Diceros bicornis minor: one gene and its partner. The protein of the gene in region 1 purifies or fractionates together with the protein of each later gene. This does not show direct contact. Links are inferred from orthologs where the notes say so. Each region holds a gene or a part of one and is shown in the gene's direction. Other genes may lie near its edges.

Evidence for each region.
Region 2: the proteins of NOD1 (region 1) and RIPK2 purify together in Homo sapiens (affinity purification with western blotting; 4 studies listed by BioGRID and IntAct, with this or other methods). This does not show direct contact. The link is inferred for Diceros bicornis minor from reciprocal best matches to the Homo sapiens genes NOD1 and RIPK2.

Annotation. Positions count from the first base shown.
Region 1 is NC_080742.1:54,811,246-54,821,412, reverse strand, and holds the start of NOD1 (nucleotide-binding oligomerization domain-containing protein 1), read left to right. Parts: upstream 1-5,757; 5' UTR 5,758-5,832; intron 5,833-10,167. UniProt on the Homo sapiens protein: Pattern recognition receptor (PRR) that detects bacterial peptidoglycan fragments and other danger signals and thus participates in both innate and adaptive immune responses.
Region 2 is NC_080760.1:9,527,082-9,537,128, forward strand, and holds the start of RIPK2 (receptor-interacting serine/threonine-protein kinase 2), read left to right. Parts: upstream 1-6,061; 5' UTR 6,062-6,137; coding exon 6,138-6,310; intron 6,311-9,349; exon of another isoform or gene 9,350-9,467; intron 9,468-10,047.

The DNA of each region.
Region 1 (10,167 bases):
AGACTGAAAAATTATGCGTACATATAATGTAATACCTAGAGCGACAACTAAAACAGGTATACAAAGAAATACACTTAAAAACACTACATATAAATAAAAATGGAATTCTAAAATATGTTCAAGTAACCCACAGGAAGGCAGGAAAAAGAAAACAAACAACAAATAGAACAAACAGAAAACAATAAAATGGCAGACTTAAACCCTAACATATCAATAATTACATTCAATGTAAATGAGCTGAATACACCAATCAAAACACAGAAATTGGCAGAGTGGATTAAAAACATGACCCAACGTTATGCTTTCTACAAGAAGCTCGATTCAACTATAATAACTATAACAATATAACAATATTGCTTATAACAATAAGCAGTTTGAAAGTACAAGGATGGAAAAAGATATATGATGCAAACATTAATCAAGGGAAAGAGTGAGTGGCTATATTAATATCAGATAAAGTAGATTTCAGAGCAAATAAAATTACCAGAGACAGAGAGGCATTATGGTAGCCTATACCAATTCATTTTATGTAGCCAATATTACCCTGATACCAAAACTAGATAAAGACAGTAGAAAAACCAAACAAAAAGAAACCTACAGACCAATATCCCTAATGAATATAGGTACAAACATCTTTAATGAAATATTAGCAAATAGAATTCAGCCATACGTTAAACAAGTGTACACCATGACCAAGCGGGGTTTATTCCAGAGATGCAAGGCTGGTTCAACACTTGAAAATCAATCAAAGTAATCCACTGTATTAACAAGCTAAAGAGGAAAAGTCATGTGATCATATCAATTGATGCAGAAAAGCATTTGGCACAATACAACACCCATTCATGACAAAAAAAATTCTCAGAAAATAAGAACAGAGGGCAACTTCAACAACTTGATAAGAAGCATCTATAAAATACCTACAGCTAACATTATACTTAATAGTAACAGACTGAAAGCTTTCTCCCTAAAACTGGGAACAAGGCAAGAATAACTGCTCTTCTACTCTTATTCAACATAGTGCTTGAAGCTCTAGCCAGTGCAGTAAGGCGAGAAAAAGAAATGAAACGCATACAGATTGGAAAGGAATAAATGAAACACTCCCTCTTTGCAGAAGACATGATTGTCCCTGGGATTAATCTACAAAAAAGTATCCTTTAGAACCAATAAGTGAGTTCAGCAAGGTCACAGGATACAAGATAAACATACAAAAATCAATTGTATTTCTATTCACTAGAATACATGGACACCGAAATTAAAAATATAATACCACTTACAATTGCTTTTTTTAAACTGAAACTTTTTTTATTGAGATGAAATTCACATAACATAAAATTAGCCATATTAAAGTAAACAATTCAGTGGCATTTAATACATTCACAAAGTTGTCCAACCACCACCTCTCTCTACTTCCAAAATATTTTCATCACCCTAAAAGGAAACCACATATCCATTAAGCAGTTACTCCCCATTCCTCCCTACCCCCATTCCCTGGCAACCACTAATCTGCTTTCTATCTCTATGGATTTACCAATTCTGCATATTTCATATAAAAGAAATGATACAATATGTGACCTTTTGTGTCTAGCTTCTTTCATCTAGCATGTCTTTGAGGTTCATCAACATTGTAGCATATATTAGTACTTCATTCTTTTTTATGGCTGTATAGTATTCTATTGTATATGTATACCACAATTTGTTTATCCATCCATCCATTGACAGACCTATGGAGTGTCTTTACCTTTTGACTATTGTACATAATGCTGCTATGAACACATGTGTACATATATTTGTTTGAGTACCTCTTTTCAATTATTTTGGATTTATACCTAGGAGTGGAATTGCTTGATCATATTATAATTCTATGTTTAACTTTTTGAGAAACCACCAAACTGTTTCTCACATTGGCTGAACCATTTTACATTCCTACCAGCAGTGTATACAATTGCTTTTTTTAAAAAGGAAACATTAAGTGTAAATCTTACAAAACACATGTAAGACTTGTATGCTGAAAACTTCAAAACACTGATGAAAGAAATCAAAGATCTAAAATAAATGGAGAGGCATACCTTGTTCATGGATTGGAAGGCTCAACATAGTAAAGATGTCAATTCTCTCCAATATAGGTTTAACACGATTCCTATCAAAATCTAGGCAAAATTATTTTTCTAAAATTTATGTGGAAAGTCAAAGGAACCAGAACAGGTAAAGCAATTTTGAAAAAGAATAAAATGGGAGGAATTGACCTACCCAATTTCAAGACTGTATGATATTGGCAAAGAGATAAACACACAGATCAATGAAACAGAACAGAGAATCCAGAAATAGACCTACACAAAGGTGTAAAGGTAATTTAACGGAGGAAAGATAGCCTTTTCAACAAATAGTACCGGAGCAGCAATTAGACATCTATAGGCAAAAAAAAAAAAAAAAAAAAAATTAACCCTGCCTCAAGTCTCTTCTTATACAAAAATTAACTCAAAATGGATCATGGGTTTAAATGTCTGACATAAAACTATAAAACTTTTAGGGGAAAAAAAGGAGAAAATCATTGAAATCTAGGGCTTGTCAAAAAGTTCTTAGACTTGATACCAAAAGCATGATTCGTACAAGGAAAAGCTGATAAACTGGACTTCATCAAATTAAAAATCTTTGCTCTGTGAAAGATCCTACTAAGAGAACTAAAAGGCACACTAGGAGTGGAAGAAAATATTTACAAACCACATATCTGACAAAGGGCTAGTATCTAGAATACATAAAGAATTCTCAAAAATCAACAGTAAAAGCAAACAATCCAATTAGAAAATGAACAAAAGACATGAAGAGACATTTCACCCAAGAGGAGATACAGATGGCAAATAGGCACATGAAAAGATGTTCAACATCATTAGCAAATTAAAACCACAATGATATATCACTATCACTACACACTGATCAGAATGGCTAACATAAAACATGGTGACAGGACCAAATACTGATGAGAATGCTATGCAACTGGATCACTCACACATTGCTGGTGGGAATGTAAGATGGTCCAACCACTCTGGAAAACAGTTTGGCAATTTCTTAAGAAACTAAACATGCAACTACCATATGACCCAGCAGTTGCACTCCTGGGCATTTATTCCAAGGAAATGAAAACTTCTGTTCACATATAAACCTGTACATGAATGCCTATAGCAGCTTTATTCATAATAACCCAAACTGGAAATAATCCAAATGTCCTTCAATATGTGAATGGTTAAACGAACTGTGGTTAATCCATACCATGGAATACTACACAGCAATAAAAAGGAAAGGACTACCGACACATGCAACGACTTGGATGAATCTCTAGAGAATTATGCTGAGTGAACAAAAACCAATCCCAAAACGTTACATACTGCATGTTTCCATTTACATAACATTCTTGAAATGACAAAGTATAGAAATGGGAAACAGATTAGTGTTTGCCAGGGGTTTAGGAGGGGGCGGTATGAGGGATCTTTGCAGTGATAGAAATGTTTTGTATCTTGACTTATCAATGCCAACATCCTGGTTGTGATATTTCACTACAGTTCTGCAAGATATTACCGTCAGGGGAGACTGGATTAAGTGTACAAGGATCTCTCTGCATTATTTCTTATAGCTGCATGTGAGTTTACAATGATCTCAAAATAAAGTTTAGTTAAAAACAAACAAAAAATAGCTATGTGTGAAAATTTTTTAATTTTATTGAGGTCATATTAGTTTATAACATTGCAAAATTTCAGTTGTACATTATTATTTGTCAGTCACCACATACATGTGCCCCTTTACCCCTTATGCTCACCCCCAACCCCCTTCCTCTCTGGTAACCACTACTCTGTTCTCTTTGTCCATGTGTTTGTTTATCTTCCACGTATGAGTGAAATCATATGGTATTTGTCTTTCTCTGTCCGGCTTATCTCGCTGAACATAATACCCTCAAGTTCCATCCAGATTGTTGCAAATGGGATGATTTTATCTTTTTTTAGGGCTGAGTAGTATTGTGAATTTTTTTTTAATGACGAATCAGCAAAGAACAGGAGACTATTAAACATGACCAAGAAAACTAGAACTAGAACCAAAAGACTTAGAAAGTAAATATGTTATTGTTGAAATTAAGAACTTAAATGGATGGTGCATTGGTTTCTTATTGCTGCTGTAACAACTTACCACAAACTTAGTGACTTAAAACAACACAAATTTATGATTTTAGGGTTCTGGAGGTCAGAAGACTGAAATGGGTCTCACTGGACAAAAATGAGAGAGTCAGCAGGACTGTGTTCCTTCTGGAGGCTCTATGGGAGAATCCATTTCCTCGCCTTTTCCAGCTTCTAGAAACCACCCCCATTCCTTAGCTCATAGCTCCATGCCTCCATCTTCAAAGCCAGCAAGGCCAAGTCCTTCTCAGGCCTCCATCTTTTTGGTTCTTCTACTGCCTCCATCTTTCACATATAAGGACCCTAGTGATTACGTTGGGCCCACACCAGTAATCCACCATAATCTTTCCATCTCAAGGTTGGCTGATTAGCACCCTTAACTCCATCTGCTACCTTAATTCTCCTTTACCATATACACAGGGTCCAGGTGTAGGACAGGGGAGGGTGCTATTCTGCCTACCACAGATGGGTTAAACAGAAGATTCAAATATCTACAAAATAATTGATGAATGGAGAGACAGAACTGAAGCAGTTATTCAGAACGCAGCCAGAGAAACGGGATATGGAAAAGATGAAACAGAGTTTAAAAGACATGGAAGATAAAATTCAGAATCCTATTAGAAAAGAAAAATTATCTAATTTTTCCACCAGTTTATATGAGAGTAAACTGGAGGAATCAGCATCCTTAGACTCTTCATTTTGGTGCTTACAAGTTTGCACATTGTATCCCATCAATTTTCTGTTTGCAAAGTTTCATTTTTGAGTTAGGAACATACTTTTCTTTTCTCGGAAGTCAGCTTTCATGGAAATTTAAATATTCATGAGCATATGTGGTCATATGATTGAATGCACTTTAGTGTGAAAAAGCGACAACTTTGTATAGCATCAATATGCCTTATGTAGACCTTCCCTATTTAAAACAGTTAAAAAATATTTTATTGGGGAAATTTCTTAGCAGGTTAAAAACTTCTTTACAAGTCACTACAGCATAATGTATAGGATATAAAATGCACACTGCCAATAACAGATGTACCTATACTGCCAAGAACAGAAAGGAATTTTAAATTTTAAAATTTTTAAAAGTGTAAATCGAAGTATACGCTCTGTTGTAGAAAGTTTGATTACTTTGAGCTAGTTTTCATCGGGGAGCACGTGTCACCTTTTAACAAGAGTTTCACCATCATGCCCTGGCGTTGCCTCTGGTACAAGTGCTGGCTTGGCACTTTTAGGGGGACGAGCCTGGGCTCGCGGCGGCCGTGGCCGAGCTGGCGCCAGGAGTTCCCGAGTGTGTCACCCCTGGGGGAGCTCTCGGGCCGGCCTACTCGCCCCTGCGCAGGGTTTGGCCGCTGGTGCTCGGGCAGGGAGCGCCCCTTGGGGCCGCCCGAGGCCATTGCTTGCGCGGCGTCTGCCGGCTTCCCACGCCCGGCCCGGGCGAGCGGCCGCCCCGCCGCCCCTGCCCCGTCCGCGCCCGCACGGCCTAGGCGTCTCCGCGCAGCGCGGCGAGGCTCGGGGCCGCGGCCGGAGGGGCGCGGCTGCCACTGCCGCCCGGCCAGTTCCCGTTCCGGCCGGCGAGCAGCCCGCTCCCGCCCTGCCCCTGGCGCAGCAGCGGGCACGGCGCGCGCCCGGGCCTCTCGCTCCCGGCTGCTGAGCGGTCTGCAAGCGTGCCGGCCACGTAAGTCCCAGCGACGAGGGGTTCGCGCGGGGCGGGAGTTTCTGGGGTCCTGGGCGCCGCGATGGAGGAGGCGCAGGCAGGCGGGATCCCGCGTGCGGGCGGAATGAAAAGCTGCCCTAGAACGGTTCCAAGTGGAACAAGGCGGAGAAACCGGGGAGTTTGAGGAATGTAGCGAAAGTTCAGAGGGATGAACTTGAGCGTCAGCCGAATTGTGTATCCCGCGGTGGTCCAGGCAGGGCTTCGCAGTCCTGCCTGCCCCTCAGAATCACCCAGGGCTTTTTTAAAATCCAGATGCCCAGGCTGCATCCCAGACCAATTCCATCAGAATCGCTTGGGGTGGGACCCAGCCCTCTGTATTGTTTAAACTCCCCGGGTGATTCCAATGTGCAGCCAGGGTTGGGAACCAATGACCAAAGGGTGGCAGCCCAGAGAAGGTGGAAAGGCAGGCGGGGGGCCTTGATGGAGTCCAGCCCGTGGGATAAACGAATCCGGCTGCTCCCAGTGACCTGTGTGGCCCTGGGGACCGGGCAGCGGACTTCCCTCGGGCTTCCTGAGCCGCAAAGAAGGGGAATGAGGCAATGCTTGGCAGGGTCGCCTGAGTAGCGTGTTCAAAAGAGCCTCAGATATTCACGTAGTGTTTGGCAGGTTGTGAAAAACGTACGAATGCCAGATTGCAGTGCCCTCTTGGTTCTGCTTTCTGGGAAATGCCTCTATTGTCGGCATTTGAAATTAAGTTGAGGGAACTAGCAAACTGATGGCCTTTACAACTTCTGGGTTTTCTCCTTTAAGGATGAAGCTGGATGTGCTTGCCACAGGGTCGGGTTTGTCCCTCCTAAAAGCCCCCTATTTAAGATATACAGTGTCCAGGAACAGGAACTTCACCGTGGATATTAGAGAGGAGTGGATTTCGCAGCATGGACCCTGTCCTCACCCCAGGGCAGATGCTGGGGGCCGGGAGCTGTAATCCCAGCAAGCAGGACCACTGAACGAGAGACAGACATATGCCCGCAGATAAGAAAGGTGGATTTAAAACAAACTGCAGCAGAGAAATAGGAGAAGAGAGGACTTCCCAAAGGGTCTAAGAAGAATAGGTTTTATTTCTGTGGAGTGGAGAAATAAGTTCAAGTTTTGGAGCCCATCAAACTGGGCCCAAATTCAGACTCTGTCACTTCTGTGATATGTGACCGTGGGCAAGTTATATGACCTCTCTGAGCCCCTGTCTTCTTACCTGTAAAACGGGAATAAAAATAGTAACTCTGTCCTGGCGCTAATATAGTTAAATGAGATAATGTGTATCAACCTCAAGGCAGAGCAGGTGGCACATGGCAGGTGCTCTGTCAGTGGCAGTTGTTAGGCACAGTAGCGGTGATTTGTGTACAACAGTTGTTTATTTAGTACAGCCATAGTGAGGGAGAGTGCTTATCCAGAAATTGTCTCCCTGAAACTCCATTCCCCTGCTCTTCTGCCCTGCTCAGAGGAGGGCTCTGTGGCTCCTTCCCCCGAGGGCCTCTGGGTACTTTGAGGTCTGGAATCTCAGGCCACCAGCTTCTCCGCCTAGATGGCTTACTAAGACAGTTTTACACCATGTGATAGGAATGAAATTTCTTGACAAAAGAAAGCGGTCCTTAATCTTGAGACTTCCTCCACCCACCGCCACATATATCAAAAAATGGTCTCCCCGGCCGGCCCCATGGCTTAGTGGTTAAGTGCGCGAGCTCCGCTGCTGGCCGCCTGGGGTTCCGATCCCGGGTACGCACCGACGCACCGCTTCTCCGGCCATGCTGAGGCCGCGTCCCACGTACAGCAACTAAAAGGATGTGCAGCTATGACATACAACTATCTACTGGGGCTTTGAGGGAAAAAAAAAAAAATTTATTAAAAAAAAAAAAAATGGTCTCCCGAGAAAGCTGGGCTATCTCCAGGTCTCAGAATTGATGTGAGAACACACGTGGCTCTCCTGCTGGCAGCATCCTCAGGGCACATCCTGGCTGTTCCTGTTTTGCTCGGACTGTTGGCCTAGGGAGAATGAATCCTTCTTTGATGACCAAAAAGAGTCAGGAATTTGGGGAACAGGGGACCCACATCTTACGATTATTGATGCTGGTGTCCCAGCTCAACCTTTCACCCTGGTACCTGCTGTGCATGTCATTGACGATCATTTTGATGGTAACAGCAGCACTGTTAGATTAGACATTAGAAATATGAACAGCAACATAATGTTGGTGTAACGGTCAAGTGCTTTTACAGGGTATGTGCAATCTCTGATTTTTGCCTAAATGAGAGTATCAAAGTCTTGTCTCTTTTTATTCAAAGAAAAGGGTTCACTATTTCTTCAAAACCTAAGACATAAATCTACGATTTGAGGTTTAAGTTACCAGTTTCTTGTACAATTCTTCTTTTTTGGGGAGTTTAGGCAAGATGAAATTAGAAAAGCTAAAATTTGTACTTGTGCTGAATTTTTGTCATGCAGAAGCTGTAGGTATTTTGCAAGTTTCTGGAAGTCCTGTTTTCTTTTATCTTCTGGGCAAAGTCAGTTGCATCTCACACAGAAGCCTCCTTTCATCAGTCCTCAAGGTCTGAACTTGTTTTGAGGAAAACTCTTTCGTGCATCAAATGATCATTGAGGGCAAATGTTTTTTCCAAACTTGACTCTTGTAGTAAGAAGTGAGTAATCACTGCCATTTCAGTTAATTGATGGTTTTTTACCCAGTGCTAGAAAGTGTGACAAAGCAAGACTTCCTGGATGGAATTTTTACTCTTGTGTTTTATCTAGAACTGCCACAGACCAAACTGTGGGCAGAGATTATGATGCAGAGTTGGCCAAGGCAAGCTCGCCATCACCCCTCCCTTTTGCCATCCTCCCAGCCTTTGGAGCCAATGAGCCAGCTAGGCTGGAGATGCTGTCACTCTGAGGGGATCTTGGCCTCTGATGGAGAGGAGTGCTCTAAAAAGGAATGCGCTTCTCTAGAGCCAGCAAGGAAATTTTGTGTAACACGTCATTAAAATCAATAGGGTACTCTCTAGTACACTGCCACTTTGAAATTTGTTGTGCTGAGTAGTCATTTTCCTCTAAATTATAGAAAACTGTAGTTTGAAGGACTAATAAATAGTTCAACCTGAGGGCTCAGGTAATTGCAAAGTGAGCACCAGATTAGCACCAGGTTTTGGTAGGTTAATATTTTAATAAAACATGAAAAGTCACCACATCACTGTTATATCTTTGTTCGGGATGTTGATATCCCTTGCCCTTCTATGTGTCATCACTACCATACCAGGTTAGGGGCAGAAAAGAGTTGGGAGGATGTAGTGACTTGTGTTGGAGAGGGGGAAATTCCCCCCTCTACCCATCTTGTGTTCTTATGGCTGTACTGCTAATAAAATTGACGCAAGACCAGATTAACAGGAGAAAAACCAATTTATTACGTCTGCACGGGAGATCAGAAAAAAATGATGCTCAGAGATTGAACAAAGCAGGACGTTTATATATATTTTTACGTACAAAAAACAATAAATTTGTGAGGAATTGACAGGACAAAGAAACTTAGGTTTGGGGTATGTAATTAGTGAGGAATTTAAGCAGAGTTTAGGCTTGAGGTGATAAATTAGTAAAAGTAACAAGGTTTGTTTCTGTAGACTTCTTGACCCTGAATTCCGTAGTTCTGGTGATAAGGATGTCTGTCTCCTGGCATGGGGAGGGTACCTTTCACATAGGACATTTATTTCCTGTTTTGGGGGGGAACAGAGAGAGGAGTATCAAAACTTTACCAAGTCAAAACAAGTAGATTTAATTCAAAATAACCAATATGCCATTGTGGGGTATTTTGGGGCAACCTGCCCTGGGCCCCTACACTTGGTAGATCTTTTCAGAGCCACGTGTAACTGGGTAGGACAGTCACATATTGCTAAGGAAAATCTTTATATGGTAGAAGACCTGTGAGCAGATGATGATTTCCTTGAAAAAATATTTGTGTTGTTCTGATAAATATTTCCCAAAAGATAAAAGTCTAATGACTAAGAACTCCCCATGCTTTTTTTTTAAACACATTCCCCAATTGCTGTCTAGGACCCCAAACCAAACCTTCTAGAAGGAACTGGATGGAAAGCTAGGCTTTCCTATCCTAACTCCTTATTCAGGACAACAGGTGGGCCCCCCAGCATGGAGAGGGCCATTCCTGGACTCCATTCAACAAGGCCATTGCTTTACATTTAGTATGAATTCAGGCACACTGATGATTTCAAGTGGAAATACAAGATCTGTAACAAATACCAAAAAGGCAGGACTTTAATGGAAGAAACCATAGGTTTTAGTGTCAGAACTGGGCTTAAGCCCTTGCT
Region 2 (10,047 bases), on another chromosome or scaffold:
GCTGCAGGATACAAAATCAACATACAAAATTCAGTTGCATTTCTATACACTAACAATGAAGTAGCAGAAAGAGAAAGTAAGAGTACAATCCCATTTACAATCTCAATAAAAAGAATAAAATACCTAGGAATAAACTTAACCAAAGAGGTGAAAGACCTCTACACTGAAAACTATAAAACATTGTTGAAAGAAAAAGAAGACACAAAGAAATGGAAAGATATTCCATGCTCTTGGATTGGAAGAATTAACATAGTTAACATGTCCATACTTCCTAGAGCAATCTATAGATTCAATGCAATCCCTATCAAAGTTCCAGTGACGTTTTTCACAGAAATAGAACAAAGAATCCTAAAATTTATATGAAACAAAAAAAGACCCTGAAAAGACAAAGGAATCCTGAGAAAAAAGAACAAAGCTGGAGGTATCACATTCCCTGATTTCAAAATATACTACAAAGCTATAGTAACCAAAACAGCATGGTACTGGCATAAAAACAGACACATAGATCAATGGAATAGAACTGAAAGAACAGAAATAAACCCACACATATATGGGCAGCTAATTTTCGACAAAGGAGCCAAGAAAATACAATGGAGGAAGGAAAGTCTCTTCAATAAATGGTGTTGGGAAAATTAGACAGCCACATACAAAAGAATGAAAGTAGACCATTATATTACACCATACACAAAAATTAACTCAAAATGGATTAAAGACTTGAATGTAAGACCTGAAACCATGAAACTTCTAGAAGAAAACATAGGCAGTACACTCTTCAACATCAGTCTTAGCAGCATATTTTTAACTACCACGTCTGACCAGGCAAAGGAAACAGTAGAAAAAATAAACAAATGGGACTACATCAAACTAAAAAGCTTCTGCACAGCAAAGGAAACCATCAACAAAACAAAAAGACAACCTAACAATTGGGAGAAGATGTTGCAAACCATATAACTGATAAGGGGTTAATATCTAAATATATAAAGAACTCATACATCTTAACAACAACAAAACTAACAACCCAATTAAAAAATGGGCAAAAGATCTGAACAGACATTTCTCCAAAGAAGATATACAAATGGCCAACAGGCACATGAATAGATGTTCAACATCATTAACTATCAGGGAAATGCAAATCAAAACTACAATGAGATATGACCTAACTCCCGTCAGAATGGCTATAACTAACAACACAGGAAACAACAAGTGTTGGACAGAAGGGAACTCTCATACACTGCTTGTGGGAGTGCAAACTGGTGCAGCCACTACGGAAAACAGTATGAAGGTTCCGCAAAAAATTAAGGATAGAACTACCATATAATCCAGCTATTCCACTGCTGGGTATTTACCCAAAGAACATAAAATCACGAATGCATAAAGATATATGCACCCGTATGTTCATTGCAGCGTTATTCACAATAGCCAAGACTTGGAAGCAACCTAGTGCCCATCAAGGGACGAATGGATAAAGAAGATGTGGTATATATACACAATGGAATACTATTCAGCCATAAGAAATGAGGAACTCCAGCCATTTGTGACAACATGGATGGACCTTGAGGGTATTATGCTAAGCAAAATAAGTCAGAGGGATTAGGTCAAATACTGTATGATCTCATTCATATATAGTAGATAAAAACAACAACAAACACAAAGAGACAGAGAGTGGATTGGTGGTTACCAGAGGGGAAGAGGGGAGGCAGGAGTGTGAAAGGGGTGACTAGGCATATGTGTGTGGTGATGGATTGTAATTAGTCTTTGGGTGGTGAACATGATGTAATCTACACAGAATTTGAAATATAATGATGTACACTCAAAATTTATATAAGGTTATAAACCTATGTTACTACAATAAAAATTATAAATAGAAGAAAATATAATTACCAAAAAAAAAAAAGAGGTGCCAGCCCTGTTGCCTAGTAGTTAAAGTTCCGTGTGCTCCTCTTCGGCAGCCTGAGTTCGCAGGTTCAGATCCTGGGCACAGACGTACACTACTAGTCAGCCATGCTGTGGTGGCATCCCACATACAAAATAGAGGGAGACTGGCACAGACATTAGCTCCAGGCTAATCTTCCTCAAGCAAAAAAAAAAAGAGGATGATTGGCAGCAGATGTTAGCTCAGGGTGAATCTTCCTCAGCAAAAAAAAAAGATGAAGAAGCTTTTTATTTCTTGTTTGTTTTCATAAGGAAGGATATTTATGATATATTGTTCAATGAAAAACAAGCAAGGTGAACAGGTATATAGTGTGGTACTAATTACATGAAAGAGAGACATTATATATATATATATATACACATATATTTGTTTCATATATACTAATAACTTTTTATTGAAGTATAGCATATACATGTACAGAGAAAAGTACACATTAAGTGTAACCTTAAAGAATGTTCATAAACTGAACGCACCCGTGTAACTGGCACGTAGAGTTTAGGTCCTAGATCAAGAAACAGAACATTACTATCATCCCAGGCGTCCCATCATGTCCCTTTTAGTCACTACCTCCACCCTACAAGAGTGGCCACTATTGTGATTTCTAAAAGTATAGGTTAGTTTTGTTAACTTTTGTACTTAATAGAAATGTAGTCATACAATATGTACTCTTCTGTGTCTGGCTTTTTTAATCCAACATTATATTTGTGTGATTCATCAATATTGTCATACACTGTTCAATCTCACTGCTGTTTAGTATTCCATTGTATAAATGTGCCACAATTTATTAACCCATTCTACTGTTTATGGGTATTTAGGTAATTTCCAGTTGGAAGCTATTATAAATACCACAGCTACGAACATTCTAGTATATGCATATACGTGTCCACATACCTAGGAGAGAGTGATAAGATCTGCATAACTGCAATTTTAATAGTAACTGCCATACGGTTTACAAAATTGATTGTACCAATTGACACTCCCATCAGCACTGTACAAGAGTTCCAATTGTTACAAATCCTCACTCACACTTGGTATCTGTCTTTTTAATTTTATTCTTGTATTTGTGTAGTGATCTTGCATTGTGGTTTTAACTTGTACTTCTCTGATGACTAATGATGTTGAATATATTTTCATCTTCATTTGCTATTTAGATATCACCCTTTGTGAGGTGTCTAGGTCTTCTGCCCAATTTTCTATTGTATTGTCTGTCTTCTACACTTTTAAATTTTGAAACGTGAATATATTATTTATTTTTTTAAAAGTACATTTAAAAGTAATGCAATTAAAAATATAAATAAATTTTATAGAGCTCTATGATGCATGCTCTCTCCTTCTTAGAGATTTACAATATACCAGTATTTCAAAAGCTCTGAAAAGTCTTAAAGTTTCACCACCATGGAACAGTTTGGAGAAATGCTGCTTCCATTCTTGTATAATTTTTATTTTTCATGGAATTAATAATTGCCTTTTTTTCACTTTCTTAGATTTTAAGTTCTCTCTCCACGTATTTCATTAGATATATCCAACACCTATCAATATAATTTCCCAAATATTCAAAATTAATCTATAAATTCAATTATTTTAGAGTTTTTCTTCTTGGAGTCTGTCATCTTCCTGCTCCAGTGAAAATAAGTTGCTCTCCAATTCTGCTACATATCTTTCATTCTGGGGTTTCCCTTTCCATTCTTCTGGTCCTGTTTTCTGGATCTCATGTCTCTCTCTTTTGTGTGTGTGTGTGTGAGAGGAAGATCAGCCCTGAGCTAACATCCATGCTAATCCTCCTCTTTTTGCTGAGGAAGACCAGCTCTGCGCTAACATCTATTGCCAATCCTTCTCCTTTTTTTCCCCCAAAGCCCCAGTAGATAGTTGTATGTCATAGTTGCACATCCTTCTAGTTGCTGTATGTGGAACGCGGCCTCAGCATGGCCGGAGAAGCGGTGCGGCGGTGCATGCCCGGGATCCCAACCCCGGTCACCAGTAGCAGAGCGTGCGCACTTAACCGCTAAGCCATGGGGCCGGCCCTCTCTGTTTCTTAACTTACTCCCATATTTTGTTGGAGCACAGCCTCTAGTAGCTTTCTTTAAAAAAAAAAAAAACGGGGGGGGGGGCGACCCGTGGCTTGGCGGTTAAGTGCGAGTGCTCCGCTACTGGCCACCCGGGTTCGGATCCCAGGCGCACACAGACTCACCGCTTCTCTGGCCATGCTGAGGCGGCATCCCACATATAGCAACTAGAAGGATGTGCAACTATGACATACAACTATGTACTAGGGCTTTGGGGAGAAAAAGGGAAAAAAAGGAGGAGGATTGGCAATAGATGTTAGCTCACGGCAGGTCTTCCTCAGCAAAAAGAGGATTAGCACTGATGTTAGCTCAGGGCTGACCTTCCTCAAAAAAAAAAAAATAAATAAAAAGTGGATGGATGGAAAGTAAATGTTTGCATCCTTGTATATATCAAAATGTTTTTATTCTGCTCTTATACTTGGGTAGTTTGAGCGACTACAGCATTCTAGGTTGGAAGTTATTGTCCTTCAAAACTTTGAAGAAATTTCACTTCAGTGTTTTAGCATAAAAGTGTTATTGTTGAGAAATCCAATGCCACTCTAATTCTCATCCCTTTATTCTTGTTTCTTCCCTCTGAAAACTTTTAGAATCTTTTATTCTTAGTGTCTGACCTTTTTAATGATGTGCTTTAATACAGGTCTTTTTTCATTCACTGTAGGTACCTGTTGGCCCCTTTCAATATGGAGACCCCTGTCCTTCCATCCTGGCAAAATTTCTTGAATTATTATTTGGGTCATTCCCTCCCTGTTTACTTTTTGTTCTCTTTTTCTGCAACTCTTAGTTTGTTAACTGAGTGGTTGAATGAGTGAATTGGAAATCGGATACAAAGTATCCAGTCATATCTTTAAAGCTAAGCCTTTTATTTTAAACGATCAAAATTTTTTAAATACACTATTTCATTACAACTTCCCACTGCATATTGTGAAAAGTAACACTGCTACTGTCATTTCAGGCAATACAAAAATACAGGAAGCATTCGTTCTCTGTAGGCGGAAAACCTCCACTCGCCTCAGGCATTCCTTATTACTGTTGCCTCAGAACTCATTAAATGCCCAGCATGGACTTGGTATTGTATATAATATTTGCAGTCACATCCTACAAAATAGTCATCTAAGTAGAAACGTGTTTGCTTAAACTAAAAAGATGGAACTATGTTTGCAGTCTTTTTTTTTGGTTGGCATTAAACACTGATTGCATTTCTCCCGGACCTATAAGAAATTTTTGCAGTCTTATTTGGAGTCAGACGGCTGGATTCTCTAGAGGTTATTTTTCAATCTCCGTATGTAATTACGAACATAAGATAGAAGACGAGAGAGACAAGCCAGTCCCTAGTAGAGGAGCACGTAACAGGAGCTAGACCCCTGAACCTGCTGCCCGGGTTGAACTCCGAAAGCGCTATCATCGCCCTTCCCTCTTGAACTAACTGAGGGCGAAAGAAGGCTGGGTCCAGGGAGACATGTGAATGAACGTACACCCTTCGTGCCTCGCGGGGCTCAGGAAGCGGAAAGCCCTGGAAGTCCGACGCTCCCTCCAGGCGCTCGCCGCGCACGCGCGCATCGGGACTCCGGCGCCCTCCCCTGGCGCCCCCGCCCCCCTCTCCCGGGTTTCCCGACTCCCCCAAGACGCGCGGCCCAGCGCCCGCGTGAGGGCCCGCTGACCAAAGTAGGCTGCTGCGGGAGCCTTCCCCAGAGGGACGCTTCGCCACACCCGGGGAGTTGGGGAGAGGAGACCGGAGGAGCGCTTCCGGCCCCGCCCGCCCCTGACACCCGGCCCGAGCCCGCCGCCGCAGCGGCCCTCCCGCGCAGTGACCGCCGCGGACGCCGCCTGAGGAGCGGGAGGGCGGAGCTCCGGCGGCCGGCGGGCCCTCCCGCGCAGTGGCCGCCGCGGACGCCGCCTGAGGAGCGGGAGGGCGGAGTCGGGCGGCCAGGCCGAACGGCCGGGGAGGCCGTCCGGAGAGGAGGCTCCTCCCGCGCGCGCCGCCGCAGAGCCGACCCCGTCTCCGAGCTGGGGAGCCGCTCTGGCGCCGGAAACCGCGGCCGCGGGGCCGGGCGGCCTCGTGACCTGGCGTCGGCGGCAGGGCGGGCCGCGCCGGCCGAGGACCGCGGGAGCTGCGGACGGCGGCGGCGGCTGAGCGCCAGACCATGGACGGGGACGCCATCTGCAGCGCCCTGCCCACCGTCCCCTACCACAAGCTCGCCGACCTGCGCTACCTGAGCCGCGGCGCGTCGGGCACCGTGTCGGCGGCCCGCCACGCGGACTGGCGCGTTCAGGTGGCGGTGAAGCACCTGCACATCCACACCCCGCTGCTCGCCAGGTAGGGCGCTCCCGCGGCGCGCGGCCGCGCCGAGCTCGGCTGCCTGCCCTCCCGCCACGCCGGCCCCGGGCGGGCCGGCTCTAGACCCCAAGCGGGACCACTTGGGTCGGCGCCAGCCCTCCACCTCCAGGCAGTCCTTCGAGGCTTGGGGCTGGCCTGGTGGGCAGAGCCGGCTTCTCGGGAGATGCGGCAGTCGCACTCTTCCGCTCGTCTCTCTTCTCCTCTGTGCTCTTTCCCTCGCACTCTGCTGCGCCCTCTCTCTCCGTACACCAAAAATCGGCAGTCACGGCCCAACTCGAAACGTCCTCTCGGTTGACGTTGATGTGTGTTCATATAGTGAGTGCGGGTTTTGCCTGCTTTGGTTTTTTCCTTTTTTTTCCGCTTTGAAATCGGGCTCTAGGGCTGCGCCGCCCGGTAGGTAGCTGTTAGCCACAAGTGGCTCTTGAGCCCTTGAAATGTGGCCCTCGGAACCGAAATGTGCTATTAGTGTAAAATACACACCGAATTTCGAGCACTTAGTACTAAAAAAAAAAAAAGAATTTATAGTATCTCATTTAAACTTTTATGTTGTTAGCATACTGAGATGATATTTTTGATATATTGGGCTAAATATAAGATATTGTTAAAATTCACGTGTTTCTTTTTTTTATGTTGCCACTGTAAAATTTAAAATTGTACATGTGGGTCACATTGTATTTTTATTGAACAGTGCTCCTCGAGTCTGGGATGTTTTGGTTTGGGCTTTTTGTTGTTGTTTTTGTTTGGTTTGTGGTTTATCACGGGTAGTTATCTAAGTTTAGATACCAAATTCAACATAGCAGGTTAGTTTCGGCTTGCACTCTCATAGGCAAGTCTGTCCCAAGAGGAAATGTGTTTTGTTTTTGCTAACAATAAACTGAATCGGAAGACTGTTAAATGACCAAAAATTTTGATTGTCTCTCACATCCTGGAACCATTTTAGTGCACTGTACGGGTTTGAAGGGAAGGCTAGTATTAGTTTCTATTTCCAGAAAAACATTTCGACCATATACCGTGACTGTACGTGTTAGTCAGTGGGACTAGTCACTAGTCTTGTGTGTTTTCCTACCGATAGGGATTTAACTAGACCCTGCATTCATTTATTAGTGAGTTAACCTCCTTGACTGCAACATTCTCCTCTCCTCCCCTTAAGTGTAGTGTGAAAATACATCTCGCTAGATGCCTGATTGGCCGGAGGCTGTTGGTATCCAATATCAGGTAGATTCCTCAGCTTCAACCCTGACAGTGTTAACTGAACTTTAATCTGCCTGTGGCTTTTCTTTGCTGTCTCTTGCTGTCAAGCTTGGATGGGCTAGATCTCACAGTAGACTTGAGACACTTGTAGAGATTGGTCCCACATTTTTTAGACCATAATCCAGATCTCGTGACCTGTATACAGGGTATAGTGTCTGTTTACCCTGGACCTTGAATTCTGGGGAGCAAGTGCTGGGCAAGCATGTGTGTGTGTCTATGACTACATAATCAACTTTGAAGAGTGGTGGTTGGTTAGAGAGGGTGGATATATTTTATACTTATACGCAAATATATGGAAATCTAGCATTGTAGGACCTATTAGGTATTCTAAAGCAAATTGATCCTCCCATTTTGGATGCTGCGTCTCAAGATTTTAATTTATCTAGGTTTTGTGCCATTTGGGAGCCAAGGAATGGAGTTCCCTTACTATACTCATTAACAATTTTCATAATCTAAAATTCTTTGCTAAATTGGGTGAGGGAGGTAATTCTGTTGTCAAAGAATCCATAAAAACCAGTGGAACACTGGCATTACTGCATCATGTCCTTTTCTCCTTCTTGTTACCTAGATGTTACCATTAGCAGTATTTATGTAGTCTGAGCATAGGGCTGAGCTATGCAGTTGACTCACAGGGTGTCTATTTCCTGACTTATAAAGTGGAAATGATAAATACATGTGCGTCTTGGGCTCTGGTGCAGATAATGTTTGCATTGTTCTTTGGGATCACCTGAAAAAAAAAAAAGTTTCTGTGCTGTTACATGTTATTTTAGTGATGGCTGACTTCTGCTCGATGAGTAGACCTTCCAGCAATCTCCCAACTCCTTATGAGTAGATGAGTCTGATCAGTTGTTCAAACACCCTGTAGATGATGTAACTGTTTTTTGACTGAAATTTTGAGTTGGGTAATTTTGGTGATATGTCTACAGACGGTATATTTTACATTTTTATTTTTAAAAATACAAAAACATTTTTATGTTGGCTCAAACACTCAAAAAAATGAGTGTTTTCCCACTCATTCAATCTTCCCAAAATTTGACTTCAAGAACTTTCTTTCTTCTCTGATTAAGCAGTGGAATGGAAACAAGACAGGTTTTTGAGTCCCACTATTGCAGTTCAAATCTGACTCCAACCCTACAACTTATTTTTGGCATGACCATTGGAAAATTATTAGTTTATCTGAGCCCAAGTGCCCTTATGTATAAAGTGGGGATAATGAAACCAACTTTAGAGGGCTGATCTTTTAGAATGATAGTACATATAAAGTGGCTGACACATAATAGGATCACAAGAGAAGGAAGAATGCCTCATGCTCGTAATGTGAGGAGGAAAGAGTGTAGTATTAGGTATCACTGAGACTTGCCCAGCATGCCCTTTCTGTAGTTCTTTCTCAGAGGAGCCAGGAATCTTCAGGTGGATCCTGTCTCCCTGCGAGGATGCTACACAATAACTTGTCTGTTGACCTGTGTCTCTTGATGCAAGTACAGAATTGTTTCAACTTACAGAATATAAGTTTAATTAAAACAAGTCTCACAAACTGATACAATTTGTTGCCTCACAGTTGGGAGCATTAAGAGGCTGAAGAACAGGGAGAAGGACAAAAATCTTTCACTTTATGCCATCTTGTAACTCTTGAATTTTGATACATATAAGTATATTACCTATTCAAAACAAAATTGACTAAGATTTTTTGCTTTATTTTGCTCTTTGTGTTTAAAGCAGGCCTCATAGTCTGGTCTGGAATGTCTGTTGCTTTTCTTATTTCAACAGCCATTCATCCAGAGCTTGGTGGTTTAAGAGCAACTAATCATCATCACTCACCTAATAGGCTTCACCTGGAGACGTTTCTCTTTCTGTTATTGCTGCTACCAACAACCATTCATCCAGGGTAAAAACTGATGACACCTTCAATTCCCTTCCATTTTTTTGGTCCCTCTTAGTCAGTCACCATGGCCTGGGTAGTCTATTCAGCTAGTGTATTTCTTTCCATTTCCACTGTGACCTTTACAGTTTCAGGCTCTCATTCTTCACATCTTAACTGGTGTTATAATCTTCTAACACCTGACTTTCAAACTCTTAACTCTTTCTGCTGGTCCTACATCCTGCTACCAAGTTAATCCTCTTAAAAGTTTGTTCTGCTCATGTCATTCCTCTGCTTAAAAACCTGCAGTCACAACTCAGACTACCAAGTAAAGTATAAACACCCTCACCCGGCTTTAAGGCTCTGTGTTGTAGCCCTAGCCTACCCTAGTCACCTTCACTTCTTTCACATACTCAGTTACATATCCTGATTCATATTTAACAATGAATTTTTAAAAAATATTTTTTAAACATAGCCTTCATTTTAACTTCCTTGAATACATTTGATACATACCTGTTAGACATCTACTGGGTGGTAGGTGCTGTTCCAGGTCCTAGGGTTACACAGATGAAAAAGAAAGGCAAGGTCCCTCCCCTCTTGGAGGCCA